3 linked regions of the Neodiprion lecontei genome follow. The protein of the gene in region 3 interacts with the protein of the main gene of each other region in a pairwise test. Links are inferred from orthologs where the notes say so. Each region holds a gene or a part of one and is shown on either strand. Other genes may lie near its edges.

Region 1 (10,895 bases), on a different chromosome or scaffold from region 3:
GACTTTGAAGGAACTAAGCCTGAAAAATATGAGTTTCTTTTTTTTTTTATCACAGTTTACTGAATTTCAAACAGTTTACAAAATCGTAAAATAACAATTTTTAATCAGCACGAATCATTCCGGTAACGTTACTAACTTCAACATGATTATATCAAGTCAGATTTACCTTCTTCATCCGGGTAAAGACGAATTATCTTCACGCACTGCTCCGACATCTAAAAAGTTTGGTAGGACGCTTAAAATCACAACACGATACACTGAAAACGTTCGAGATAACTGTTTAGTGAGGGGGGAACGAAGAGATTTATGCAAAGCCACAGCACGCCGCCAACTCACATTCGTGGTTCAACCGCTACTGAGGCCGGTTCGAAGATGACTTCACGCCTCACACCGACAATTCTCGGCGGCCTAACGTTCCTGTTGTTGCTGTGTTTCGACGGCTTGTTGATTGATAATAACTGCGTCGCGGCGCCGAGTTTGATCGCAAATGTGTCGAACGAAACTGGGGAAGTTTTTCTGTCGTCGCCAAATTTGAAACTCGAACACGAACCGGAGTTGCTGGACACCGTCATTCCGTTCGGCGTTCAGTCGTCTCCAAAGTACAAAAGGTGATCGTCAATTTTTTTACTCTCACTTCACGTTGCTACCGGTTTTTGTTTATCGTATTGAAGTTAGCAACGTTATCGTAACGATTCATATCGAGGAAAAAGTGTTGCTTCTAGATTTTCGAATTGTTTGAAATTCAGTAAACCATAATAAAACAGAGTTACTAAATTAAACATCGTTTTTGTTTTAACTGAGAGAATAACGACAATCTATACCTTATCGGGCAGTGATTTAGAGTATTTAATATTGCAGCAGGCACTTTTAATTCATTTTTCACGTAATCATAAAGTCATGATGACACGAATAACAAAAATTTCGAGAAATCAATGCTACAAAATGTAATAAACGGTTATACCATGACGAACCATGACTCGAAATTTCAGTGTTCGAATAAACTATTTTTAGACGATTAAAAGAAAAGGAAAAATACAAAGGGCATTCACCGTGAAAACTTAATTAGATTATTTGAATGTTTAAATAATTATAGAAAGTCCGGCGAAGGAATTTTTTTTTTTTAATTTGCTTAAAGAGAATTTCAATAATGAGTGGTACTACACGTCAGGTGGTCAATATTTTGGGCGACAAAATAGCTCTAAATATATATATATATATGTATATTTTATTACGACGTATTACGCAATGCGTGTAATAGGGGTCATCTACGGATCATTGATTATAAGTCGCTATCAGACATTCGATATATATATATATATATATATATATATATATATATATAAAACATCGTCGTCGTAAAACATCAGTTCATACATATGTTCATACATAATCTCACTCAAATTCTTTTCCCAGTCTTTAAAACTGATGTTTTACGACCCGCGTGATTTTACGAAATTCGCGGATTATCTAGTATATGACGTGCTCTGTATTTCTTGAAATTGGGTAATTCTTTTCATGGAATGTATTACATAAGTTCCGTGATTTTACTGACAGTAAAACAATTGTTGATACGATACATACATCTTTACTGTAAAATGTTACACCGACGTGATATAGATATATTACGTTACACCTACGGAAGTGTGTTATACGTTCAAGGTTTATCACGTGTTTTTAATAAATCTGCAGAAGTCTCGCCTATCATGGAGTCAGATATGGACTACCTCGGATCGTAACTCGAGTCATCGATTCCCTCGTCAATGATAGAGAAGAAATTGTTCAGAATTACGGTCAGGTAAACTTCGTTCGAAACTTCGTAAACAATACCCTGGGCGATAATATTTGATCTCGTTGTTAATTTCTTTTTAATTTCACAGTCCGCTGGGAAAGATTTGGATCAAGCGTTGAGCTCCATTCGCAATTTGAAGAATGAGATACTAACAAACGCAGAGTTGAAACCTCTGCGTTTTTCACCTAATGAAAATGATACCTGGTCTAACGAGGTCAGGGTGTGGAACAATTATCTAGCAGAACGTACTAAAATAGAGGGAGTTATTCCAAGGTTTTACAGCACTATCTACGTTTACTTGGAATGCTACGTGTATCGAAGGATCGCTGAGGCGTTTCATTTCACGTAAGGAATTGCAATAGGCAAATTTTCGAGAGAAAAATTTTCATGAAGCTAACAAGAACTCGTTGTGATTCAGGGAAACGTTGAAATTTTACGATCCGTTCGCTAAACAAAAAAGACGGGCTTTCGAGGATTCAACAGCAAGCGCCATTGCAGTGGCTGCTCATACTCTGCAAGAAATCGACAGAATACCGGAAGTATCATCGGCGAATGAGAAACAACAATTTATTAAGCACCTGAAACTGGGCTTATGGGGCAACAGGTAAACTCGGGGTGTAAAGTTTTTACGGATCGATTGTGTTTCATGATTATTTACGTATTTTATCGCGCAGGGTCGATCTGTCATTCAGCCATGGTGCTGCGGTAGGTCAAACCGGAAATCCGCTCGAACTACTAAGTGGCCTGGATAAAAACATTCTCGTAGACGGCACCGATTTGGCCTGGAATGCCTTGGTTAATTGCAGAGCGAAGAAGCCCAACGGCACGATAACGGTCGATATAGTGCTGGACAATGCAGGCTACGAATTATTCACCGATCTCAGTCTCTCCGCCTTTTTGATCGCTCGCAATCTTGCAGATAGGATACGATTTTACGTGAAACGTATTCCCTGGTTCGTCAGTGACGTTACCACGCGAGATTTTCAATGGATCATCCAACACATGAAGAATTCTTCGAATCCTGATTTATCGCGGTTTGGAGAGCTGCTGAAGGGTCACGTAGAGACCGGTGTATTTTCTATTTTGGTAGGAATCTGCGAGAGTTGCGCGAACTTTGAAACGGTTGACGAGATTCATCATTTTTTTCCGCCTTCACTTACAGGATGAGCCTTTCTGGACCAGCCCGTTTGTTTTCTCAGAAATGCCCCAAAAGGATCCCGCCTTGTACGCTAAACTTTCAGAAGCAAGTCTGGTCATATTCAAGGGCGACTTGAATTACAGAAAATTATTCGGAGATATTAACTGGGAACACACCACGAGCATTCTTCAAGCAATCCGAGGATTTTTGCCAACGAATTTCGTCAGTCTAAGGACACTCAAGTCGGACGTTTGTGTGGGGTTGAAGCCCAACCAAGCTGAGTCTATCGCAAGAGTAGATCCGAAATGGCTTGGAACAGCAAAATACGGTGTCATAACAGCGGCTGCAAATAATCAGACCTGCAGCAGAGCAGGATAATCTGCCGTCACTCAAAGTAGACAAAAAAACTCAGAATTTTCATTTTTGTCCGAATAAAAGAGAAATTTATTCTATGTAGTATAATAGAATTCTGTACTAACGCATCCATAGTAATCAATGCGTATTACACGTACTTCTAATGACCTTAATTTAATCACCCATTATGAAATATATATTTATTCGAAATTAAAAATCATATCAGTTGGCTGGCTATGTACCGAAGTATACGTACGTAATTGAGAATTATACCCTAAGCAGAATTTGGCATTACTCGCAACAATGACAACGTTGCTGTTGGCACGGGTTCTGTTACCAACACTTGAGGAATAATTTTTAGATGACATCAAAAATAGGAAAATAGTTATCGATTATTTGGAAAATGTCGTAAAGTTAGAAAACAAAAAATTCGCCGAATGCGGTATCAACTTCAGAGTTTTCAAATTCTGTGCGGTTCTTGCTAACCGTTCGTACCTCAACCATTACGACGCGCGACGGTTTGTCCAAAATTTGTAACCTTTTTTCAATTGAACTGAGGCCTTCTGTGAAATTTCCAACCTTTACACGATCTTCCAATTGAACTGGGTCTAAAGAATGAGGTTCTTCCATGCCTTGCTCTTCCTCACACATTTCTATGAGCTCATCAATTGTCAGCTCCTGATTATTTGAATTTTGTCAGTCTGAGGACAGTCAAGTCGGAAGACCGTGTAGGGTTGAAGCCTAACGAAGCAGTCTCTCGGCAAAACGGATTCTGAGTGGATGAGAGCTGGAAAGTACGGACTTATAACAGCAGCTATGAAGACTAGTACTTGCAGCTGAGAAATTCAGTTCCAAATAAAAGGAGCAAGTGGCTTAGTTTATTAGGTGCGCCTAATCGTGAGTGGAGTAAACAAATTTTAGCGAGTGATTTCAATGAAACCTGCCAACGAAACTTCGCACCTGTGCACATAACACAGCCTTTTCTGCCTCACCAATTTACACCTCGCGTGATATTGCTGACGACTATCTTGTACTACCTGGAATATTTATTTTATTACACTTAGTAGTAATACAATATTTTATAATAATAAAGAGTAATAAGTAACCATTATTCGTAAATACATAATATCCTTTCTGTCCTATAAACGTTTGTACAATCATTATATTATAACTTAGATATCAAATGTTGGGAAATAACGTTAAAATTTCTTAAATAAATTTTATCCTCTCTCTTCCCTTCCAGCTGATAAGATATAAATCGACGTAGCAATTTAAGTGATTGCATCAGTTACGCGATTCGTTATAATATTTCTAGTATACAATTATCTTTTCGTCAAATGACCGCTTCTCTCTGCATGCCTTTTTACAAAAAATCGATTAACTTGATTTATGTTTATTTCATTCATCCGTTTTACTTTTTGCAGGTGATTAGCTGCATAAGCTTGCTTGAAAGTCACAATTAGAGCGACATTTATTATTTGGAATAATCGATGAGAAATGTAATAGAAACAATTCATTTACACCGGGACATGAATACTTCGTAATCGCGAATAAAACACAAAGAAACTTCCGGTTTATAGATTAAATAAGCCACTAAGATCATTTACCGTGAGGAATTTTATAAAATGTACCACTCTTCAAATTTGTTGCAACGTATATCAAATAATACTTACGTTCGCTTCTAAAAAAAATATGTAGGTACTGTTATCATAACTCACACGACCGTCCTAAATTGTTTTACCTACCCCGCCAATAATTCAAATAAGCTCTATTGACACACGTTCTAAAAATTACTAAAACAAAAGGAAATAACCAAACGAGGAAAAAACCTAGAAATTATATACCTAATAAATGGCATTGTTACAATGATCAAGAATTAGATGAGTGTTGGTCTTGCGCTTGGCGCAAAAGTGAATTCAAGCTGCAGCTATTGAATGTGACCAAAACAAGAAGAAAAAAAAGAATACCAATATAAATACGCTCAAAAATACAGGAAATAAAAACGAATGTCTCTCTCTCAAAAAAGTCTAGAATTTTTTTTGGAAACATCACCTCTCGCACCAAAATGGTTCGCTGGACAATTTGAGGGGTCGAAACCAAGTTGGGGCGACGTATATCACGGACAAATACGGGCCGGAACCTGTCATTCATTTTGATACGTTTACATGAACGATAAAATACGAACATTTCAGCTATCAAGCATTGAGATATTCGGAACGAAAATGAATGTCGGACGCCCTTAAGACTATAAATATTTATTAACGAAAGTAAGGGTGGTATAATTTCCCTGGGTGTGCATATGTACACCGACGCGCGACTCTGAACGACACGCGTACACTCGATCCTTCTATTTACACATATATATCAAATTAATTCATTGATCCCTATACTTTGAGGCAGTTGGGGAAATTTCGCTACTTCGTAAACGCTGCAAATACAGCCCAAAGGACGGGATTCGCGTTTGGTTTCGCGGCCTCTGCCTCAAAGTCGAGGTCTAGCAAAGTTCGTACTCGCCTCATCGCAACCTCATAGTCATCGTCGCACAGCGGGGCAAACGCATTTTCCAAGACATCGGCTGCATGTGCCAAAATCACCAATGCCAGCGTTCTGCGGTCCATTCGGCCTGCATCGTTTACCCAACGACCCAATACGGCTTCTTGAATCTGTGGGCAAGGCAGGGAAAATTAAAACGGACACTCGACTTGATTGTACTTGTGGAAACTTTGGTGCTAAAACAAAATTTGTACCAGACAAAGAGTTGTTTTAATCTTTAGAGAGCCGGCCTGGCTCATTTAGGAGTCAGCAAATAACTCCGAAACTCCATGGGACGTGATTACTATTTATATGGATAAATCATGTCTCTACGAAATGTCGAATTTCAAGGGAAAAATGCTGGCCCTCTAAAGATTAAGACATATTTGATTGTTTTAATGACCGGACGTAAGCGAACAGCTTCTGGAGTGTCAAACAATGATTTTTCTCTATCTAATCAGTTTCCGATGTGTTAGATAAGCGCTATCACCACTACCCACAATTTAGTGCGTTAACTATTTTATGCCGAACTCCCTCTACGTTTAGCGAACCTTTTTGACCAGCCGAGTTTTGGCGAGATTGTCTGTGAGCGGGTGAGTGGTCATATCGAACAGAAGAAAGTTCTGTTTCTCAGTGGTGAGAACACCCTTCTCGACAAGATTTTTGGCCAATCGTTCCCTCACATTTTTGAGCTGATATCGTAGCTTCAGCGGATTCCAAGTCTCGCCTGAAACAACGCGACAATCAATCCCTCGACTTTTGTCTTCGAATGCTAAAATCAGAAAGAACAGATGCGTAAACGGCTTACCGCTGAGATACTCGATCCAGCTCTGAACAGTCTCAGGAGGATCGGTTTCCTTGAGATGTTTAAGAGCCTCGTCGAGGAGGACGTCACCCGTAGGCGAGTCGCTCTTGAGGAGGAGTTTCCTGGCGAGTAAACCGCGCCTCCGCATACCAGCCTTTTCAAGTTCGACTCGTCCCCTGAGACCGAGCTCGGCTAGGATGCAGCCGCGCAGGCCGGAGCTGATACAGTCATTCCAGAAGGACGTGTATCCCTGAAAGAAGGAACCTCGAAGTTGAGCCCTAGGTCGCTCTAGGAGAAGAACAGCGCAGACCTACCTCCTTGTCCTTGAGTCCTAGTAGCAGGACCTCCTCCATGAGGGTGAGCCTCGTCTCCTTGTCGGAGTCAGAGTCAACGGCTGGATTGCAGTTCAGGTCCTTCTGGGATGAAGTCTCGGAGTCGGCGCCATGCGCCGAGGACTTGTCCGAGTTCCCGGTTAGCTCGTTGGAGCCATCCTGCCCGTTTCCCCCGCTGCCCCCGCTTCCGCTGTTTACAATTCTGCGACGTTGCACCAGACCGTCACCCCGATTCATCATGCGTGTGTTGTTGAGATACGAGCGGGCGGATTATTCCAGAAATGACGCTGGTGACGCGACCCTCCTCGGTGACGACGATTCGCAACGATGCGCGATTTTAGTAAGGGCAAAAGGCCGGACCGTCTGTTGTCGGATAAACAATCTCCTGTTGACGTTTACATAGACACGACATATCTTTCCAAGATGGCCTACACGGTGCCAGTCGCTCCCAGCAATCACTTTCATCCCCCCTTCGGCATTCTCGAGCCGTCAAGAAATCCACCGAGCGGTGGCGCCATCTGCCGGCCGTTATTGAAACTTCAAATATCGAACATGGAACTTCGAATCTCGAACAGCGTTGCCAGTATACTGAGACGAATATTTTTTTAAATAACGCTAAGACGGTTCTTTTGATTTCTCTTCAGATGGCACCACAATAATGCTTTAGATGCTTTAATGGTGCCACAATAATTCTTCGTAGTTCTTATTTTCACAAGTGATTTTTAACGCAATTGAAACTGAATATATAATAAACAGGAATACATAATGTATTTAATTTTTTCGCCTTATAACACGGACAGTTTCACTAGAAATATACCTGTAATGATAATTAACGAACGAGGTAAGACAGACAGATTTACATCCTACAGTCTGAATTGTGAGTATAAAGATGTTAGGAACTTTTATTTATATAATGTGTTATTATTTTTAATATTTAGTACCAACAACTTGTCAAATAAATGCACTTGCAAATTGCAGACACTATCAAGGTAATCGGTATATTTTTATATTTTGACAGAAACTTTACGATTGGTTTACTTTTAGTCTCTTGTTTCTATTTCACAGTCCAATGTTAGAAATTACGCTGTCAGTCTTGAGATTTCGTTTGAAGTCTTGAGTTTATCTTCAGATTTTGGTCTAAGCGACAACATTTATTGATAAAAAAACAACTTTTCGGTTTTCCTTGAACGGACTCTAATTTTTTTAGATTCAAAGAATTTTCTCGAGGGGTTGGCAGCGCTGATCTCGACCCTCGAATCTCGAATAACGATCGCGTTGTTCTACTGTTTTCAGTTTGAAACCACCTTGTCGATCGACACCGAGAATTTATTTTTAGAAAATGATGAAATGGCAATATTCAACGTTCACGCTTATTCACCGGTGACAAATTCTTTTGTTCAAACAACAAGAAAAGCGTTCTCGCGCCGTTTAGTCCCGTATCGCACGTGTAACGAGCGATTATCCATCGAACGATACCAGCACTTTTACACCACGCTTCGCGCCGCACGAGACGACGATTAGACACGCAACCGATAATCAATATACCGCGTGTATCAATATATCGCTTCATGCAATGGAATTACGTCTTATTTCTACTCGTGCGTAATCGCGCGGTTTAGTACCATCGGTGCTTTTATTTTCACCACATCCGCTGACGCTTTTTGATAGTCGCGATAAATTAAAATGCGTCGAAGTTTTCACGGCTGTTCGAAACTCGTTTTGGTTTATTGACCGTCAGACTTTTGTATGTAAATTGAAGATTGGTTCGTTCTTTGAAAACGAGTCTATAGAATGGATTTCAATTCTCAAACTATGCGATCTCCCGTGATATATATATATATATATTTTTCTTCTCCATCCTCGACGCGACAGGATTTCTTACGAATGGGTTATTTTAAAACCGTGTGTACATCAGTTCGCGGTTTCATCCGGTCCATACTCGGGCGGATAGGAAAATGACGAGCGTCCAGTCTTTGCGGTGATAATTGCCGGTATTCCGAGTTCCTCGGCGTTATTATCGCGTTGCAAGAAGGAAGTGCCCCGTAGCGAATAGTCAGGTCTTATAGGTACGCGCACATTAGTAATGAGACCATAAAGCGGCTGCCTGCAGGATATCCGCAGAGCCTGCAGGCGGAGATATTATAATACTATACGGTCTCAATTATAACCGTTCATTTAGCGATCTGTTTAACCGGGTCCAGTACAGCCTGCATGCCGCGATAGTTTCCACGGAGAAGCATAAATCCTCAAGTCGTTTCCTTATGCGCCGCGGCTCTGGGCCCCGCGAAGAGCGGTGGAGTAAAATTGTAACGGGGGCATTACAGAATAGGTACGGTAGTGGATAACAACGAGGTCTCGTTGTACGAGAAAAGCTACGGCAGCCCGTCCACGGAACGGTCCGCAGGCGCAACAACGGCTGAAGACAATTCCTCCTGGTGCCAGGAAATAATGACAGAGAGTATAAAATCGGAGCAGAGCGTTACGTACAGTTAGGACAATTTGCGATTTCGATTTTTCGCCGGGCGGTGCAGCGAACGGAGTCCAGCATCGACACATGCAGATGGTGCAGGTATGCGGTAATAGCCCTGGCAGTACGGCTTAACTGTGCTTAGTCGCGCGTCACTGGGTTCTCTAACAACTATCGCCGTACGTATTACAGGTACGTGTACCTGGATAAAATCGGCCTACCTGTAGAAAAGTGTACCTACACTTAGACGACAACGATGACGATAAATTCGCGCTGTTGCTCGAGTAGAAATTTAGAGTCTACATTTGACCCGATTGAGGGAAACTGAACCCAGAAATCCTACGTTGATCCTCCAGGTCGTGAAGATTTAAGAAGAAACCCAACTTAAGGATCGCTTTTCAAATGTATTCATTCATCGTTCTCGCGAATAGAAAAACCCTATCAACTGATCGAATATAAAGAAAATACGATTAAACGCTTGAGTAAACCAATTCCTATTTATTGGGATTTCAATTTGATTTCGCACGTCTTAATCGTATTCTTTTTAAATTTCGTACATTTTCACCGTCAAATTAGGGTCCGATATTGCACCGCAGTAGAACCGACTTAACTATCACGAAGCTCTATGTAGGTACGATCTCCTTCAAAGTAGGCGCGAAACGTCGACTCGTGGCGAGGTGAGGAGTAACGCGTATAGTAATGAATAATTGAAAGGGTTCTCTCCCAAGATCGGGAAGAACGGCTGAACAAACGGCGTTAGAATCGGCGGAGTTTAACGACCGGGTCTGTTTCCCGTTGTCAAAGCGGAGGGCTAATCGAGGTGGAACCGCATACCTCGTACCACGGCAACCTACTCGACATGTCGCGGTCGGTGGCATCACCGAGACTCCTCTCTCGGTGCAGCGACACCAACACCTGCAGACCCGGGTAAAAGTAACAACTGTCCGCCTCAATGTCAACGGCGTTCGTACACGTTACTCGTCGATACACAGACGCGCTCCTACATCCACCTTCGACGAGGACGGTCAGGCTGCAGCCTTACACACACGATCGTCGTGTATTTCACCACAAAACCATTTTAATACAACCGGGCACCGGCTCCGCAGGCAGGCAGGCAGGCAGGCAGGTAGGAATACACCTATGTAGAAGGTGCACGAGGTGGTGGGAGCGAAAGCTGCGTTGCCCCCGCGGACTCTCCGCGAGCATACAGTCGCATTCGAGAGGTTGCGGAGAGCCGCGTTTATTCAGTCGACAAACGTTCGTCCCCGCGTTCGACCGTCTGGACCGCCGTTTCTCTGCCGATTTAATCGCCGATTGGGGACGATAGACGAGGGAAGCAAAAAAAATATATAAATAAATAAAAAAAAAAAAAAAAACACGGATCCTCCGATTCTAGTGCCGAGGTCCAGTTATGCGCGGTGCACTCTCATGTTGAGCTTCCGGTTCTACCCCGTGCGTAATTGTTTCGTCGACGACAT
Region 2 (10,009 bases), on a different chromosome or scaffold from region 3:
CTATCCATACAGTAGAAAATGACTGAATTTCTTACAAGCTAGTCATAAATTTGCTCGTATGGTGAGCACGGCATCTCTCCTACTTTTTTACATTCTTAACTTATAATCTGGTTTTGTTGCGTTTCATATTCTAATGCCGCGCCGGCCGAGTCATGGTTGGTAGAGGTGTGCCTTACCAGACGGACGGTACTCAATGAATATCACAATGTCACCAAAGAATTTATAGTTTGTCGATAGGGAAGGAAACTAGGGTAGCCACTGTATTATTTGTTATCGACATCCCAGCAGTGTTCCCTATGCTACCGACGGTATTACGTAAATCAAAGATTCGACGTGTAAATACCGTGGTAAATACCTAAATCTGTTTCTTCAAAAACTAAGTAAGTACATGCTTTTGGCGTCAACATAAGGTAGCGCTGCAGAAGCATCAGTGTTATTGTTTCCCAACATCATTACGACAAACCTGACATAGACAACAAAACTTAAGGAATAAATCATTCGTCTACGTTTGGAATTGATCGTTATTAAGTGCTCACGACTTTTATATCCATTAAGTATTTCACGTTTATGAGGGTACGTAAAGAATTTTTCTTTTTGAAAATAATGCTCGCCCACTGTTCCCGAGTAATTCAGTGTTGATGTTCATAGTCCAAACAATTTATAACCTTACATTCGGGACGGTGATTTGCTGCAATGCCATAGGGCTGGATTTAATTTATTGCACAAAATAGTGAGACAGTAAATAACTTTACAATTTTGTTTGTCAATGTGGAATTTATGTAGAGTAATGCCATAACTGTGGTCTGATTTACAAATCATTGTATTAAAGTTTGCAACGTCAACATTAGCTAAAAAATTTGAGGAAATGGAGCAAACAATTTATAATTAACATAAGTTTGATATTTGTGATTAAAAGTTATCAGTATTAAAATGTAATTATGCCTGCCTTCGTCTGTGATTGAAGTCGTCAAATTTTCACCATACCTTTCATAAACTCTTATTCTATACATAAACTCAGTATTTCACACAAAGTGTATTAACGCATACTATACAACTATTTTCAAACAACGCAGCTATTCTCAAAATGTTATTAAAAAATATGCAATGTTAATATAATGGTTGCTGATTCGTTTCCCCTTTTGCTCCGCACAGGCATTTGTGCCTCCTGGAGACATACCCTATCGGCGGGTGCTGGCAGTAATTATTATTATATTAAGCAGAATTTGGGTTAGTTCCTAGTTTATCTAATGTCGAATAAAAATATCAATACCTTTTAGCCATGTCTCAAAGAAACCATAATACACGCAGTACCGCACAAAGCACTCAGAGTTCTACTAGAAATACCTCATCAGTTAAACGATCTACTAGAAACGCCTCGCAAGCCAGTAAAACAAATACCAAAAACACTTCACCAACCAGCCAGAGAACCCAGCAAAATGATGACGATGAATACATGACACAGTCTCAAGCAACTCAAAGCAAAGATCTGACTGCTGAAGAAGAAAATCAGCTAGTCGGAAGCGTGATAAGATATTTATTAGCAGTTGACAGAACTAAGCATGTCATACAAAGACCACAATTGGTTAAAAATGTTTTTGGAACATATAATAAACATTATCGCAAGATTATGACCATAGTTAAAGCCACTTTGACTCAAGTAAGAATGGAAAGAAAAATTCAACAAGTAATTCAATACAGAATTTAGATATGTTTTGGTGAACATTTTTTTATTCTTGTTCTCATTTTTCTAGGTGTTTGGTTTTAATCTGGTAGAATTTGAAACTGGCAAATACATTTTGACAAATGCTATTACAATGAATCCTCCACATCTTTCGTGTCCGGAGAGCGAAAAACCCTGTCGAATTTTGCTGATTTTGGTTCTTGCTCATATTTTTATGTTGGATGGCATATGCAAGGAAGGTTTGTTTTTACTTGCTTGTTAACGTTACTTTCATTGAGCAATTTAATATAGTCAAATGTGGATCAGTCTGTGTGATAATCATACGCGATCTGTGTGTTTACTGTAATTGATGTTTTAGAATTGTTATGGGACTTTTTAAGAAAATTGACAATAATTCCTGCAGACGGTTTTAAGACTCAGATGTTTGGTGATGTACACAAAATAATCACTGTGGTAAGTATAAGTAATAAAAATAATGAAAAAAAATTTTATTCAACTTCTTATACCAATACCAAAGATTCATTTGAAAGGTGTATAATATGTTTATGCATATCCTCAGAAAGTTTTATCTTATTAGCGGTAATGATATACATTATCTCCATCTAAAGATTATAGTATTTTAAACATTTTTTCCGTCAACTAACTTTTATTCTTCTTCTTTATCTAATGTAAATATTATTTCTATTCAGGAATTTGTGAAACAACAGTATTTAAAAATGCCCAAGATAGGATCATCGGATCCACCTGCATATGAGTTTCATTGGGGTGTGCGTGCCGAGGAAGAGGTTTCGAAACGTCATTTGTTAGAATTCGTTTCAAAGGTAAATTTAAAGACGCCAAAACACAAAAATATACTCGATTTATTTCTAATATTTGTAAAAAGTCTATTGAAGCTTTATGCATATTTAATATTTATATAACATTAGAAGTATTTATTCTAACATTAGACTACGTTTAGTGATGTGAAGATGATTTCATATTTAATTTCGATTTCTAGATGTATAACGATCGCCCGATCAAAAGCTGGCCTAAACAATTCAATGCCTTGAATGAGTCCGAATGCCAAAGCATAGAGAGTGAAGACGATAACTAAGGTGAACCTATTGCAAAGAGTTTAATAAACTGACATGAAAATTAGGAAATAATGAAGCACTGTACTATTTTTGTAACAAGACTTTTAACCGTGTCCGTCTAATTATTTCTGTATTTTATACTACATACATTAGTGTGCTAAATTTTATGTATTATGGACTTTTTTTTTATTAAACATCTATTGAAACTTTTTGTAACATTAATTTCATGCATCATTATATTCACAATCTTAAATATTGAGTAAAACATTCACATAGATGAAAATTATTATCGGCCAATGAATGTTTCCAATATAAAGTATTTCACTTTCAGAACTCAATCTCAGACAACAGAACATATTTAAAGTTTTTAGACGAATACATGCAGCTGATTCTAACATGTGAGAAAAAAGTGGTTGAGATAAAATTCTAATACTTGTATGGAATACTTTGTGCCTTAAAATGTTTATCGCGAGACAGAAACAAAATTTGTGTTTTAAAGAAAACTTAACCACTCATTTTTAACATTTTACAGCACATTTTTTGGTGTATAAAGCAGTGTTGATTATTTTCTGAATATTTGAAAACTAGCTTTATAATTTACTATAAATAAATATCCGTTTGCGGCTGAAACGGATGAACACACTACGTATTCATTATATCTGCAAAAAAATATTTTCTCATTATTATATGCAATTATAATAGATTCGATGGTCTTGCATCGAAATATAGTAATAAAAAGTATGTACCACGTATACTTTTCATATAATGTTTTTTTTTAGTAAAACGCTATTTTTGCTTACTCGTTATAATCAAACACTAATGATAGCAACAATATTTACAAAAGTTATAGATTTTAAAAGTTTAAACATTAAAATCGTCAAAGAATCTATCTTCTAGTATAATTCTCGTTATTTTTTAGTATTCTTTCTTTTTATATCATAGATTGGAGTTTCACAGCGAACGTCTTCTCTTAATTTCTCTTTTCTAACTTCTTTTAATTCACTTTCTATCAGTTCGAACTGGTTTTGTACGTACAGATACTATTTAAATAGATTAAAGTAGTGTAATTGCAAAAACAAAACACAAATTCTGAATTTAAAAAAAAAAAATATGAAATATATACGTGACAGCAAAATATAGAAAGCAGATATATAATCGGCATATTTTTTTAAAGGAGGATTTCGTTGCAGACCTGTGTTACTGAAGTAACAAACAAAAAAGCCTACCACATTTTATCGCATCCAAAGTTCTTGAATATGTAACATGCTGCTCTTTCGTAATACTTTGATACCGATGAGGATATTATTAAAAATTCCCAGCTACCTCGCTAGAAGTCAATATCAAATCAAATATCATCGCAAATTCCAATTTCCGTTGGATAGTTACAGGAATTAAATGAATCTGAGAATTCAGAAGGAGACTCTTATGGTACGTATTTCGAAATTTTCATGTATATTTATGACAAAACTGTACTAATTTAATTTCAAACAGCATATAGGTACATTATATGAAAAAATACTTGATATATATTGAAATGTTAGTGCATGCAATTGTTCGTTTCATTAATCACCACAGAAATAATTACATTTGAAGTCCGATAAACACGGTGCTAAGAAAATGATCGAAAAACGCAAGAAATTAACAGCCGTTAGAGATCCGAAAAATACTCGTCACCCCAATTGATGTTTCTTTTTTGGCAAAATCCTTTGTGCTTTTTCGTATCTCCGAAAAGAAAACAACGTGACTCGCAGAAGCCGTGGGATTAGGCATCCGTGCATGCAGGTGAGATTACCTACGGGACGAAGAAGTATGGTCAAATTTCTCGCAGAGGTCATACGGAACGGGTACGACTAGGAGAGAAGTCTACGACCACGCGGATGACCCAGTTATATTATTAATGCGTCGACTCCAATCTCCCGTTTCAACCGACGTACATTGTGCATACATATGCCGTGAATGGTACATAACATTGAGTCTACGGTAGTCGTAGACAGACGTACATGTGTACTTCTGTACTCGAATCGGAGTGCAAGCTCGCAACAGTAACAAAATGGGAGTGAAATAAGGTATTCTAGGTTTAATTCCGCAGGTGAGCTTGATGCACGAAAAAAATGTCTGTGCATTATTTGACTGCAGCACAAATTACTGTTACATACCCAAATTTGAAACCTGGATTGGATTTATTACGTAATTCATGTGAACTAAAAAGAAACTGACACGATTATCTGAAATTCTTACATTTTAATTTGAAATATGTCGTTTCTTCTTCAAGATGACTTATTGTCCTTTTAATCCAAAATGTCAGAAGTAGATGAATAATGAATTCATTTTCGATTCCAGAGATGTGTATCATGAACGTCATTCAGGTTCAAACAACACAAGTCTGTAGCAGCTAATTGTGGCATAAATTTACGTAGGATTCTCCGCTTATTGTCAGAGTGATCAAAAAATCGAAAATTGTTTCGGTCGTAGAGCCGTAATCGCTATGAGAACCTGAGGAGTGTTATAAATTCGAAAAATGAAATATGAACGTATACTGAACGGATATTCCATTTTGTTAGTACATACACGCTATTGAAAACTCAAAAATTACCCAGTGACGGCATTTTGCAACTATATATCGTTATTTTCAAATCTGTTCTTGTGCGATCTACTTTGATATATTAAGTCTCTCCGAACAGATCCGAAATTATAAGTATTTTTCTTCTCAAGTAGCTTTGGAACAAAAAACATGTTCTCCTTAAAGTACGTAAATGCATTTTTTTTTTAATTATTTCTCAAAAGGATATATTCAACACTGTTGAACCAAACTTGTATAATTTCGCGACAATCAAGCGGCAAGACATTCAAACTATTGAACTGCAGTAGAACCTGGAAAATTGCCTCAGGAAATTTTTTTTTTTTTTTCAATTCCTCCCTAAACATATACGGGAAAATTTGTCGATCAGTGCATACGGCATGCTAAAACTTCTTCAGCTCAGCACCTTGTGGCAGCATAATTTCCTTTAAAACTATTATCATCATCACCACCTGCGACGATTCACCAAAGGTTTTCATGTAGATTTCAAAATAAGTTTGGTACAGTTTAAAAATCTTCGCAAAACTTTTCGAAAAAGCTGTCGAAAGGGATTCCAGAGCTTATTAACAATCCTATTCAAGAATACCAAATAATTACCCATTCGCGTAATGAAACTTGAAAAAATTAACAATTTCAACACCGGTACACGCAACTCTACACCGATCATACTCATATGTGCATGTAAACGATTTGGGTGGAGTTAAAAAACCAGAATAGCTGATCGACAGACGGACCAAAATATCGAATTTGCAAAGACGCGAAAATCTAATTCGTAGAATTATCATAATGTAGAAAGTTCAAGTATAGAAAGTTGAAAATATAGAAACGAGAAGCACAGAAAGACAAAATATAGAAAGTTTAAAACGTGGAACGGCAGAATCTAAAATCTGTATACGGTTCTATATTATCGAAACGAATTCTGACGACTCTACATTTAACATTCTTTATTCTGACCTTTCTATTTTTTCACTATTCGATACCACGAGTTTCCATATCTCTAAATTACACCGAATAACATTTTCGCTTCTTGAAAAATTCGCTATCGCGGCCCTTCCAATTCTCGATCTACCTATATTTTAACCCCCACCCAGCTATTTTCTTTGTCTCTAAACCGCGTGAGGTCAAAGGTCTGCAGCCCCTCGCGTATTTAAGCCGCCAGCGTTACCTTACTTTCAGGCGGGATCGTACAGAAAGGACCTAACACGGCTTCGGAAAGTCCCTTAATCCCGACAAGGAGACAGCTAGCCGCTAGACCGGTGCCGCCAGCTGCTCACTGTTCCACTTTGCAATTGTCGTTTAACGAGCCTGCATGCTGCACCACTCGTAACCCATCTACTTGTTCCCGCAACGGACAGCTTTGAGCTTTCGGTTTGATTCAGATTGGTCCCGGATACCGCGCTGCGGGCCGCAACCACCGGCTGGTAACGCGCCGCCCGCATCCCCCATTCCACCCCCAGCCTCGCCCAGCTCTGCCCTCTGCCCCCGGGGCAGCGAGCCCCTCGCCGAGTGAATCTATGTCACAGTCAGTGCATCCCTCGCGCTCGCTCTGCAAGCTCTGCAAGCTCTGCAGGCTCTGCAAGCTTTGCAGTCCGCCGCCGCCGCCGCCGCCACCCTCCCGGCCTTCCGCTCATTACTTCCGAGCATCTTGTCCCGCCAAGATTTGTCCTCGAGGGCTCCGAGTCGCGTCAGCGATGAAAGTTAACGCTAGTGCAGATAAATCACGAACCTGCACCTTTGCCGAGAATCGTTACTTTGCAAAGTAGAATTTTTTTCATCTCTCGTCAATCATTTCTACCATTTTTAGTAAACAAGTAAGTATAATATTCCTTTGGCGTGCGCTTTTGTTACAAATTTTATACTAATTATAAGTATACGTAATGCTTGAATCATTTTTTCAACTTTGTAGTAATTTTTTTTTTTTCTTCTTGTGAGTACGTATGAATATATTTTTATGTTATCTCACCCTTGCATGTAAATAATACACGTTGAACAAGCGTGAAGGAATTTTTTTCCCAGCAGCAGGTATTTTCCAAGTAAGATCAGTCACGGATATTTGAAATTGGGAAACTCGACCTTCTTTATACCTGTCAAATTCTTGCTATCTGCATCTGTGCTCAATACTTTTCCTACTGGTTTAGAAAATCTTGCGTTCCATTCACCAATTTTATAAATTTATAGCTGAACAATCGTTTCACACCGTGCGCGATTTGAGTGAAACTCAAAATGTACCGAAAACGTTTACTTGTAACCTTTCTTTATATTCATGTGAATCATTACTGTATACAAATATCAAATGAAGTCTCGAGGTATGCCATAAAAATTCTCTGGATAGTTCTCGATATTTTATTCGATCACCCGAGTGCAGGGTAACTAAAAAAAAAATTTAGCTCTTCAAAGTTTAAAGTTAAATGATATCAACTTATGTTGGCCAGTAGGAGAACATGAAAAAATCAACTGTTAAATTATGTTTTGTGGAATTTCACGTATAGCTTTTTGATGATCAGATGTCATTCGGAAATCTCTTGACAAAATTGACATGATTGTACGGTCTAGATTCATAGCTGTGAATAATAGCTTTGACAAGACTGCGTACGCGAAAAAAAACGGACAGTATCAGTAATGCTGATGATCAGCTGATTTTGTTATTCTCAATAGATTTGACACGCATGAACGCGGTATTTAAATTGTAATTATGACCTCTCTTAGTGACATAATTATCTATTCCTTCATTTGTCGTTTATTTTGTCATTAAGTACATATTTTTTATGATTGTATGTTTAACGTTCGTACCTCAACGCAGCGAAATATTTCGCTCAACGCTTGAAAAAATCTTCATAGTCACAATTTACATATCCTGGTACGGTTTTTAATTATCATCTTTATGAGGAAATTACATGTCGGTGCATGTTGTTCTGTTATTGCGGATATTTTTATGGTCCAGCCTAGGTGGTATCCCAGATAACAATTAGGGCAAAAAATATATCAGGGACATCGAAAAATTTATGTTTTTGTAAATGACTTTTTAAACTGAAAGTCTAGTCATTCGAAGTAAATTACAGATTACATAAGCTCAAAGATTTCTATTGCTCTATAACTTGTAATAATTTTGAGACATTGGTCTTTCTTTATACGATTTTTGGTTTACGATTAATTGTTGCCTGAGATTCGGTTTAGGCTTAACGATATAATACTATTGATTATAATTGCTTCTGAGCAAAAAGAGCTAAGTGCTAAGTGCTAAGTGCTACTCAAGTATCGTTCTTTTGTCGAGTGCAACACAATATTCTTTACTTAATACTACGCTTCGCCAAAGATATATTTTTCCGATGTCACAGACTTGGGACCAAATTCGCCGGGTGAAAATGTTCAACTTATATCAAAATATGAACCGGCGAGAAGAGGGTGAAAATCGTCGTGAACCGGATATGACCGGACACGATCGTTTCTGTCAAGTACGGCCAAAGTCACGGCGTAAACGACGGCAAGTAACTCGACGGGCCCAAAGTGCAATCGAATTGGACACTGAGGCTATGCTCTCTGCCAGAGGAGTTCTTGATCGGCGTGGACGAAGCGCAAGCATCGAGGACGACGAAAGTGAAGAAGAAAAAGGCTACCAGCTGACTAACAAAATTGATAGTCTTGCCAAGATTTTATTCAACCGAGTTACAGCAGCGCGTAACAGAGAACAGAATGACATTAGGTAAGTCATTTTTTATTATTTATTCATTCGCACTTGTTGTTGTTCGAATTGTTTCTTTACACCGTTTCAAGTATTTCATAAGCTTGAGAGAAACGAAAGAGAGCTAGAAAAATCGAGCATTGTAATATGCGATAGAGAAATTTTATGCTATAAATTTTGTCTTGATTTATCGAACATATTCACGAATTTTCATTGCAGTACCTAAATATTTAAAAGACGCGAGAAGCTCGCCCTTTATCGTGTTAAATCAAAAATCGATGGGACCACTCGATGGCACTAAAATTTATAAGGAAAGTATTGCTCAAGTGAGAATTCAAAAAAGTTCAAATTTGGATTGAAATGAACTAGAGATATAAAAAAATCAAAAAAACAATTTTCACAAAAAATACAGTAGTAGGGAAAAAGTGTGTTGAAAATATCTACTCTGCGATAAGCAATGATCATTGACAACAGATTGCAAATAGCAAATATAGTGCTTGTTGCAGTCTGAAGAATATACCTAATTTACAATAAGATTCATTGCAAACATATAATTCTAATTTTTATCAGTTTAATACGTGCTGAAGAGCTTAAAACAATTGAATAATTATGTTAGTTTGATTTTACGCTAATACCTATACATATAAATGAGATAAGCCTATAACGATGTCACGTATGAACATGTAAAATAATTCATTTCGTCGAATTACAAATATAATTTAAGGAAACGAGGCACGACGGACTTCGCAAGAAATTTTGACAAATTTTTTTTTTAATATCGAGATATTATTAGACGTTTGTTTAATATGTATTGAGTTAGAGTATGCAACATTCTTTTGAGATAAAAGAAATTGTTTTAAATATTTTTTAAGAATAATATTTTAAATAAAGGCCTTTTGCTCCGAAATATACATTTTTCTTGTCATACATATTGGTAGATAATTAATCAATGATTTTTTTAGTACAGGTAGAGTTAAAGGATGCGGAGTTATTTAAGA
Region 3 (10,121 bases):
TATCTTCTTCTTTTTCTCTTTTAATAAAAATCTAATATGCTAAAAAGCCCGGTGACAAGAATGATGACCGAAAAATGAGCGTTCTTTTCTGATGTATAAGATTAATTTACACGAGGAAATAATTTCCCCAGACTCTCCGACATGATGTTTCCCGTTTCACCGCTTTTCTCCCCTGTCTGGCATGACTATCGCCGCACTGGAGAGTTCAAGTCTTATAGTACCCTGTATAAGTAGTCCTAAAACACCTCTCGACCTTATCCTCAAATGGTTCGTATTGTAGGCTACAGGTTGCTCATCACACACACACACATACACACAAACCGTACATACTTCATCGTCTCCCGAGGGACGGCGGAACACTCCCGGGTAAAATGTTGTTGAATAAACACTTCAGGATGTACATGCACATTATTAATTAATAAACGAGTTTGCTGAAATGCTTTGAAGTTTATTGTTTCAATAAAATTATCGAGAGAAGTTTCGCCTGTTTTTTTTTCATCTAAAATTATTTACGTTCAAGGTATATATTATATCTCAGTTCAAGAAATATAATTTATTAAAAGGCCTTTGATCGTATTTATTCACGCTAAACTGAATGGAATATTTTATTACGTATAGATGAGAAAAAAAAGTTAAAGCCGAAAAAACGTACATTTACCAACCACTCCGCAAATGTTATTCGTTAATTTCAAATTATAAGAACAAGAAAAGTTATAATGAAGGGACATGCCTTGATAAACGTTACCAGGAAAAATATATGGTTATTATTTATAATAAGAATAAAGAGTAAAAAGGTATCATAAACGGGAAAAATGTTTCAAAGTTTATCCAGTGTGCGCGCGCGTGTGCGTGTGTAATAATCATATATTTTTCGAAAAACGAATTACAGACGCAGCTGCATTCCAACAAAAAAGCAAATACATATTTTTTATTCAAATTCGTATTCAATAAATTAGTATGCAATATCAATCAAATAAATATTATCTTAGATTTGACCTTTTAACTATCTTTTTCTTTCCTTCTCTATTTTTGTCTCACGCGTTTAATTGTAACGAATTGTATAGGTGAGCATGTATGTATAATAATACATCATATCTAAAAAGAAATTATATGAGAAAAATTTTCGCTCTCATCGTCAGCGATGTTGTCATTTGCAAGGTATTATTTATAGAGGTAAGAAAAGCGTGCGTCGTTCACCGCATACCTCCTTTATACACAACATATGCATGCATATATATACACGCGCACATGCATACATATATACATCACCGTCACTTCTGTCGCATATTATAATGATGTACAACGTAGACAGAGGCTTTACGACTTATGGTATAATAAATTAATTCTGGCGCTCGACACCTGTGCAAATCATAGCAACAGGATTGAAAAAAAGAAATATATACTCGAGCAGCAACTGGATGCGTCGCAATATGGAAGAAAAATAATGAATGAAATAAAAGGTAAACCAATCCACATACATATAACACTGGACCCGATACAAGAAAACACAATATTACGTACAGTTGTTGTCAGTCTTATTAAACATTTATCGTGAGTAAATTACAAAAGCTCCAATATTGACTGAAATTGCGCAGAATAAGGATAATTAATTAGGTATGTACATTATAATTGTTTCGGTGCAGTGTAACTCACGCCGTACGTCTACGTGCACATTTGCCAAGTGCACCGTGGTACTTTTAAAAGGGAAGGAGATGCGTACGGCGGTGTTAAGTATGCGTTCGCGATGCTCTATACCGATACATATGTGTGTGCAAAGCGTGCGTATGTCACGCATAGGTGTAATAGGTAGCTATATACACAACGCATCGTCATGCCTAGCAGCAGAGAAGAGAGAGAGAGAAAGAGAGAATAATGCGTCAGTGGCTTGGAATAGCGAATGATGTCAACACGGTACACATTTACCACGCGTCACCCAAAGAAGAGAAGCATGTGGTCAAACCCGGGGTTGTTGGTTAGGTAAAACGATGCGTCTAGGTGTACATGGTCAAGTACCTAGGCTAATCGTAAGCCTGTTTATAATACACGCGTAGCGTCTATTACTTCTATTACGCGGGATAGAAGACGACAGAGGAACGTAATCGCTAAGTAGCAACGCACGCGTTCCATTGCCAAAAATTAATGACAATGATTACAATTTTGCGGCCTGAAGGATCCCCCCCCCCCCCCCCCAAAGCTCGCTAATCAGATCGTTACACGGTCAATTATTATACGCATCACCTGTCGGGCATTCGATATTCGTTGATTAAATACGTAGTTCAATAACTGATTGTCTTATTATTTTCGTTATTCTACTAACAACTATATTATATCATATCACATTGCAGGTGTGAGCGATTTTTTGCATTGCAATTGTGTAATTAACGATGGATCAAATTCTTGTCATCGATTTTGTTCTTTGACGGGTTCGAAGTTTCTTTTTCGTTATTCGCCAGATGCGAATTATTATCGTTGGGTATGTGTATGCGTGTATGTGCATTAAGCAACGTATATTATAATGTATTTGTAGTGAGTCTACATATACTGAGAACACACGTACATCTGAGGATCGAACGATATTACGATGTAGAGTATTTTCATCTCCGCGAAACTATACGCATACATATATTGTAATATAGGAATACGTAAAAACGTTTGAAAAAAAAAAAATAACTGGCAGTTTTATACACACCGTATTTAATTGGTAAGTTATTTTTTCATTCCTCTTCTTCAGATTACAGCGCATTTTGTGTTCAAGATTCAACAACGGTATGAAAACTATTGTGTTATAGGTATATATAAAAATATATATATATATATATATATATATATATATATATATATATATATATATATATATATATATATATATATATATATATATATTCATATACACATGCATATAAGTGGAACGATTCTGACGCACAATTATTTTTTCTGACATAGTTAATACATAAACTATATATATTCTTTTAGAATGAATAGTTTGTACTGACGTTTTCTCTCCTTTTGTGAAATGTGTGCCCAACGCGATGATGTTTGGTTTGATATAATGAGCGTACTAAAGAAAAAAAAAATGTACATGCAGTATATTTTATACTCAATGAAACGGACGCAGCATGCGGTTCAACGCACGCTGTCCATCGCACTATGCGTGTTATGCGCGTATGTAACTCGTTGCTGATACTACAGCACCGAACCCAAATTCTTAATTTGGGAATACGAGAAATGACACGATGTTCAAATCCAATTCGATTCAGTATTGGCTAAATACACACTGCACTATACGTATCCGAACCTTTATTTTTTGGGAGGGGAGTAAATAAAGGGAAGTAAGAAATAGAAAAACACATCTGATCTCTAATGTGAACTTTTACGAGAGGGAAAATTCTTTCACATCCAATGACGTATGTTAATATAAAAAACGGAAAATTTATAGGATTGCTCCGTTTTCCTACCGCTGACGGAGTCGAGAACGCATAAATCTGACGTAGTTCATCAGCTAATGATATTATATGTATAAGTATATTTAATCAAATTTGACGCGGTTAAGATATGAATTGAATTTTTCTTGCGAAGTTTTAGATATAACGTATTATCGATACTCTATTTTCAGGTTTGACCGCGATCATCTGCATGTGCGATAAATTCCGAATAAAGAAAAAGAGATTTTCGCCACCGCCGTAAGATATCTGTCACTGTCACGCGATATGAACCGGAAGTATCAACCCGTAACAAGATTTTGCTGACCGTTACAGCACAGATTTTGCGTTTGATATAATATACATACCTATATAGAATCGTATAAGTAGCAGGAACGATGGTTACGGTAAATAAATACATCGTAGCGATTTCAGACATTAGCTAGTTGTGGAAAATTTTTTGAAATTATAGCATCTTTACGCAAGTACGGAAAAAGTTATTTCAACTTCGAGCGTTAAAGAATTATTTGCATCTACCGGGGATATAACGACGAAGAGGAATAGTAACTCAAATATGACGAATACAACGTGCCCAGTGTACGCACAGAGAAACAAACAACGAGAGGAAAGAAAGGAAGTGTGTAAAGAGAAACTTTAGTCATTACCCATGGCAATTGCCTTATATTATGCACGTATGTGAGTGCGCGTGTGTGTAACAACCTGGTTGAGAAACTCGTCGAGATATTCGCGCCGAGCCTAATATGAATGCATCTATATTATAAAACCGGATGTGACATATTGATATGTTCGAAACAGCTTTCGCGTAGTCGTAAATGAGACACATACGCTACGCGGAGTTCGCGCATTGCATGCGAATCATTGCACCCCGCAGGTATTACAAATCGTCGGCGGGTTGCACAAACCCACATTTACTATTTTCTACACTAGCAGGCATTACGCTTGATATAAATTAACGTGTCGCATCATCCTCTCTGGCACGTGACGTCACGGCTGATAGTAGTAATTTCCATACGGATTATCTCGGCAGCGACGGATCTAAGTGAGCATGCAACAACGCCGAACTCGGCCGAATGCGTTCAGAAATGATAAAGCAAAAAAACAAGAAAGAGATACATTTGGAAAATAAATGTGCATGAAAATCACGAAAATCATAAAAATCTTGAGACGCCATCTGCTTATAGGCAAAGGCTTTCGACCTGCCTAGATATGCTAGATAAATCGCGGCGTAGGTACACGGCAGACGTGGGTCACACTACGTACGACACATAATGCATGCACCCACGTGAACGACGTGTGGCCTTGCTTTAATAGATTTATCCACCGTCATGTAATTGAGAATAGATTCTCTGACCAAATAAATTCGAACCAACCAGAATCAGGTGCGTGCGCTTGGAGAGGATAGAGAGAATAAAAAAAATAAAATAAAAATTAAACTTCTATGAAGCTAACAAAGAATTTCTTTGACCGTTGTTTGTTACATTGTGCTGTACGTACGTTGACCTGTGCCAAAGATTGATCTGCCAGGAATCCGATAGATCTTTGGTGCGACATGTAAGTGAACATTGATTTAATGCCGCATATTTGTGAATTTACAACGAGAATTTAAGTCACATGTAGCGATGCGGATAATATCTATTCCAATCCATCGATTTCAATAACAGCGGGGCTAATTAGTTCCCATTTGTTATTGATCAGTCTCGTACAGGTAAACTCACGGTAAGATTTACCGACACAGTAGACATAATTGACGAGAACTAATTTAGTCGCAGTTTTCATTCTATATCCTTTCGTGTGATCGTTAAAACTTTTTCCTGTTACATGATCGTAAAAGTTGAACTAAAAATGAAGTTCAGTTTGGGAAGAAAGGGAAACAAGGCCTGTTGGAGGTTTGAAGACCGGATTGAGATATTAAAGTACGTAATAAGGCGATCCACCTGGATGAGAGAAAGGGCGTGCCTAGTCGTAGGCGTTTGTCACGGTCAAGTATGCGACGTACTTCTACCAAGCTACAACTACGTGTGGCTGCGGATAATTGCACAGTAGGTATGACGAAACGACAACGATGGTACACCGTTTATTACGAAGATTTAAAAATCCGAGGACACGAATCGAGGATTGGAGAAAAAAGTGCGAGCGGTTGGCGAGAAAGAGGGAAATAGAAGAAGGACATCTCCGATTTCTCATGACCATATAAGGAGCTAAATTCTTAAAAAATGATCGCTCATAGTACGAGTAAAATATGACAGTTTGACATGCGGGTATTGAACGGCGGTAGCACGTGGTTAATGATAGTCTGACAGTCGATAAACGGTGAAATGCCCGAGCACTGTCAGACAGGGATACGTTAAATGCATGTGAAAAAGTTGGACATTTTTTTCGCCGGCAACCTGGCAAAATGGCAAAATGGCGCCCCTGGCGCCTGAGACACTCCTATTAAATGCGTCACTCGAGCCGTACCCTCCGCGGCTACATTCACGCCTATCGCCTTTACTCTTTAGGTACGATCTCGAACCGGAAGATTTAACCCGTCTACTTGACACGGAAAATCAAAAATGCCGTCATTACTGACTGGCTCGATTATCCTAGTGATAGGCGCACGACGTCAGTATCTGTATGGCTGCTCGTTTATTCGATGTGGAAGCCGCTTTCCAAAATTTCCATCATCTCTAGTTGCTACGGGGTTCACACAGCCCGCAAACGACGTTGCGCACATTTAGCATAAAATTAACACTTCTATCGTATGCACGGAATCTCCGGTTAGCGAGGATTCGGTTTCGATACATTTTTGGTTAAAACTCACCTTTTGAATGCAGAAAGTCGCCTGGAAAATCAAGGCTTCAGCGAATTTCAACGACTCCCGTCTAACACGATCTCACAGAGTGCACTGCCGCTCACCGCCGGAAACCGCCATTTTAGACTACGTTCGATTAGACACTTCCCCTACCATCGATCATAACCTATCTTCATTCGATACGCGCACCGTTTTCAACCCTTGTGCGATAAACATCTTGTGTAATTTTCGAAAATTTTATTGACATACACAATACCTCACCGATGCACTTGCAAATTGAATAAAAATGAATTAATTGTGAAGTTGAATTCAACGTAACCAAAATGGCGTCCACGTTTCCTCCTGACTGTTTACTGCGTGACATTCGAACCGGTGCTACTAGCACATGGTTTGTTTTTTAAATAGTACCTCAAAGTAATCAGACCGTCTGAAAAAACAGAAAGTGAAAGATGCCGAAGTCCAAAAGAGACAAGAAAAGTACGTAAATCACCTCAAACACTATCGCACAAGTGAAATCTGAACCGTTGTCCAGATATTATTTGCACATAACCTATAATTTGATATATACATGCTTGATAGTCGTAACTGATTTTGCATTTGGAATTATAAAAAATTCTCTAATACTAACAAGTTCTTGTAATTATTGAAAAATGATAAATTTTCGTTTTAATTTTCAGTCACACTTACAAAGACCAGCAAGAAGGGACTGGTTCTGAAACAACAGATCGTCGAAGACATCCGTAAATGTGTAACAAAGTATAACAGCATTTTTTTGTTCTCCGTTCAAAACATGAGAAATAACAAACTTAAGGACATCCGGGCTGAATGGAAGGATAGCAGGTTCTTTTTTGGTAAAAACAAAATCATGGCGCTTGGCTTGGGCAAATCTCCCGAGGAAGAAGTCGAAGATGAAATACACAAATTATCTGCCGCTCTCAAAGGCCAATGTGGGCTCCTTTTCACCAACAGACCTAAGGATGAGGTACTTGATTAATGAAAATGGCAATATACAAATATATAAATGAATTAAGCAAATATATCATATAATTATTTCAGTATTTTTAAAGGTTTTTTTATTTGGGACAGGTCTTGGACTGGATGGAACAATATGGTGAAGAGGATTATGCACGCTCAGGTTTTGTTGCAAATGAGACAATAACAATACCTGAGGGACCGATGCCAGAGTTTGCACACAGTATAGAACCACATTTGAGGCAGTTGGGACTTCCCACATCGCTTCAAAAGGGAGTTGTAACATTGCTCAAGGATCACGAAGTTTGCAAAAAGGGCCAGACACTCACTCCAGAACAAGCCAGAATACTGGTACAACATTTGTATTTGTTTAGCAGATGTTTTCAAGTATATAGATAATTCCATTATAAAAAGCTCAAAGGCTTCGGTTATGTACTCTTTTTTTTTTCAATTTGCTCTTCTGGAATTTTAATGCTAGTTCCCTCAATTTTCCATGAATGAAATCCAATACAAAATTTGAGAAAAACTGAAATCCACCCATGCATGTCACAAAAGATTTCTCGTGGAATTACGTGTATACTTTACAAAGTACCAATTTACTGAATTCAGTATGGAGCATTATTTTTGTACCTTCTTACAGAAACTCATTGGCAAGGTATTAGCAACATTCAAGTTAACGCCTCTTGGGGTATTTGTCAAGAGTGAAGGATACATGCCAATTGCTACAGATGATAACGATGATAATGAAGATGACAATGTAGAGATGGAAACAGAAGACACAACAGATACCTGAAATCAGAATTAAAAATGACCTAAAAATGTACATATTGAATAAAAAATTGTTTTTCCATTTTTGCGGTTTATCATTTCTTGAGTTTGTGAATAAAACCTACAATTCTTTTCTCTTATCTCACATTCCAGAATATCAGTGACAGCAATGCGCCGAGGAAACATGCATGTTCCAAAACAATCTAGTCCTTGAAATCCTGCTAAAAAAAAGCATGCAGTTATTAGAAACAAACGATTTTGAAATCTCTCGTCAGCAGTGCAAATATCAAGATAAATTTAATGAAAAATATTATTACCAAATAATACACAATATTTACACATTGTACATACTCATTCAATGAATAATGAGTTGCATATTAGGATTCACTATATTTTGGATCGTCGGTATGACATGGGTGAGTGAAATAATTAAACGAAATTGTACCTTTTATGTGTATAAAACTTTGAAAAAACTTTTTATTACAATTTCTGATACCAATGTGAGAAATCATCGGATCTAATCTTGTTAATCAACAGATAATATATCATTGGCTGAATGGAACTGTTCCAAAATCTAGTTGTGAAAATTCTAAAAGAGTGGCATTCAAAATCACAGCAAATAATCATAAAAAACGAAGTACTACTTCTGTAGAATCATGGGACATTTCTGATAATGAGGACAACGGAAATGCAATCACCAGTCACAATGAGCTAACGACGTATCGGGCTAATTTTATTTAGCAAGTAATCTACAGTTTTTGTAGTGTAGCTGAAAAATGACTAAATCTCAATGGTACTGTTTGTATAGTATCTGAAATGAATTCTGGTATGGTTGAATTGAATATCAGAGTGCTATTTCAAACTTTTCGACGCAATTCGTCTGCAAACGAGTACAAATAAATTTATCAACTACTTTTACAAATTGATAATACTAAAACGGTTAATTATTTTTTTCCCTTTATTATTTGAAACTTGTGTAGATTACAAGATATGATTATTACATTGAATAAACTGTTGCATAGAGAGCTTGATAATATTTAGTTCAAACTTTCATATTTAATTATTTAATCTATTTACTGATAAGGTTTTCTTGATAGTAATAGGTTTTGAGCTCAAACTGCATTCCACTTTGAAAAGGCATAATTATTCTTATCCTCGGAAGATACCTATTGTTTGTTCCCATGCGGAGTGAATAATGTTTATGTAAAATAGTGAGTGAATTGTAGAAGAAATCTTGTCAATTCTTTTTGAATGACGTTAATCAAAATAAATATAAATACGTAATATATCTTATTACGAGCAACTTGCTTTTTCAATTTGGAATGACAATCGTAATAAGTTATATTCCGCTCTCAATGTGTTAGAATTTAAATAAGTTCGACATTCTAATAGCAATATCAGCTCTCTGACAAGAGGTTTTCATTAAGATACATTAATTCATGATAATTATCACTAAAACGTATCATTTATAGGCAACAATTATGTGACGACACTGAATGTAAAGCGAAGTGAGCGAATGAAATATAGCTGTGTACACGTGTTGTTCATGTTCCTCAAATCACAGGAATTCAGATCGTCATATCGACTGGAAATTACCTAAACAAAAGGATCGGTAATAACAAGAAAAACTCGAAATATCGAATTATTTATCAGGTAATATCAAAGAAATAGTCGAACACATATTCTAAAATGAAAACTAAATTTTCTTACTAGATACGATAGTATAATACTTAACTAACAAAATCAATAATACCTGGTTACGAAATAAGTTTATATATTTTACATAATGTGACTTACAGACCTGACTAATTTATAACCTGAATAATTTATAATATATACATGTCTTACTAAACGATAATCAATTATTTCAACCAACATATAGTAATTTTACAAATTCTAACTAGATGTGAATGTCTCAAATCTTTTTTATTCCAGTGCCATACGCTTCCAATTTTCACATCAAATTCTTTTTACAAATAAATACAGAGACAAAAATAAAATTAAGAAATTATCGAAGGGTTTTATAAATATAAAAGTATGATTATCTATGTATAATATAAGTGGAAAATGATCTTTGGTAAAGTAATTACGCATTGCATTGTCAATCAGCGTTGTGTAATTACTTGATGACAAAAATAATACGGAGAGTA

The links.
Region 1: the proteins of 14-3-3 protein zeta (region 3) and Golgi phosphoprotein 3 homolog sauron interact in binary tests that used the Drosophila melanogaster proteins (3 or more experiments, as listed by UniProt). The link is inferred for Neodiprion lecontei from reciprocal best matches to the Drosophila melanogaster genes 14-3-3zeta and sau.
Region 2: the proteins of 14-3-3 protein zeta (region 3) and slowpoke-binding protein interact in binary tests that used the Drosophila melanogaster proteins (3 or more experiments, as listed by UniProt). The link is inferred for Neodiprion lecontei from reciprocal best matches to the Drosophila melanogaster genes 14-3-3zeta and Slob.

What each region holds. Positions count from the first base shown.
Region 1 is NC_060266.1:25,423,254-25,434,148, forward strand, and holds Golgi phosphoprotein 3 homolog sauron, read right to left. Parts: upstream 7,422-10,895; 5' UTR 7,191-7,421; coding exon 6,933-7,190; intron 6,869-6,932; coding exon 6,622-6,868; intron 6,541-6,621; coding exon 6,365-6,540; intron 5,945-6,364; coding exon 5,696-5,944; 3' UTR 3,836-5,695; downstream 1-3,835. Other genes in the region: damage-control phosphatase ARMT1-like, read left to right, coding at 307-608, 1,690-1,795, 1,878-2,134, 2,208-2,393, 2,464-2,875, 2,952-3,305. UniProt on the Drosophila melanogaster protein: Phosphatidylinositol-4-phosphate-binding protein that links Golgi membranes to the cytoskeleton and may participate in the tensile force required for vesicle budding from the Golgi.
Region 2 is NC_060260.1:23,029,877-23,039,885, forward strand, and holds the start of slowpoke-binding protein, read left to right. Parts: upstream 1-3,929; 5' UTR 3,930-4,149; coding exon 4,150-4,182; intron 4,183-4,486; exon of another isoform or gene 4,487-4,710; coding exon of another isoform or gene 4,711-4,713; intron 4,714-4,731; exon of another isoform or gene 4,732-4,820; intron 4,821-5,793; exon of another isoform or gene 5,794-7,143; intron 7,144-8,667; coding exon 8,668-9,032; intron 9,033-10,009. Other genes in the region: non-structural maintenance of chromosomes element 3 homolog, read left to right, coding at 1,280-1,657, 1,752-1,920, 2,040-2,134, 2,371-2,502, 2,679-2,774. UniProt on the Drosophila melanogaster protein: Regulator of calcium-activated channel Slo. Increases or decreases the voltage sensitivity of Slo, depending on the absence or presence of 14-3-3-zeta in the complex, respectively.
Region 3 is NC_060261.1:34,231,625-34,241,745, forward strand, and holds the start of 14-3-3 protein zeta, read right to left. Parts: upstream 6,381-10,121; 5' UTR 6,241-6,380; intron 1-6,240. Other genes in the region: mRNA turnover protein 4 homolog, read left to right, coding at 6,681-6,708, 6,909-7,213, 7,318-7,554, 7,844-7,996. UniProt on the Drosophila melanogaster protein: Required in Raf-dependent cell proliferation and photoreceptor differentiation during eye development. Acts upstream of Raf and downstream of Ras, and is essential for viability.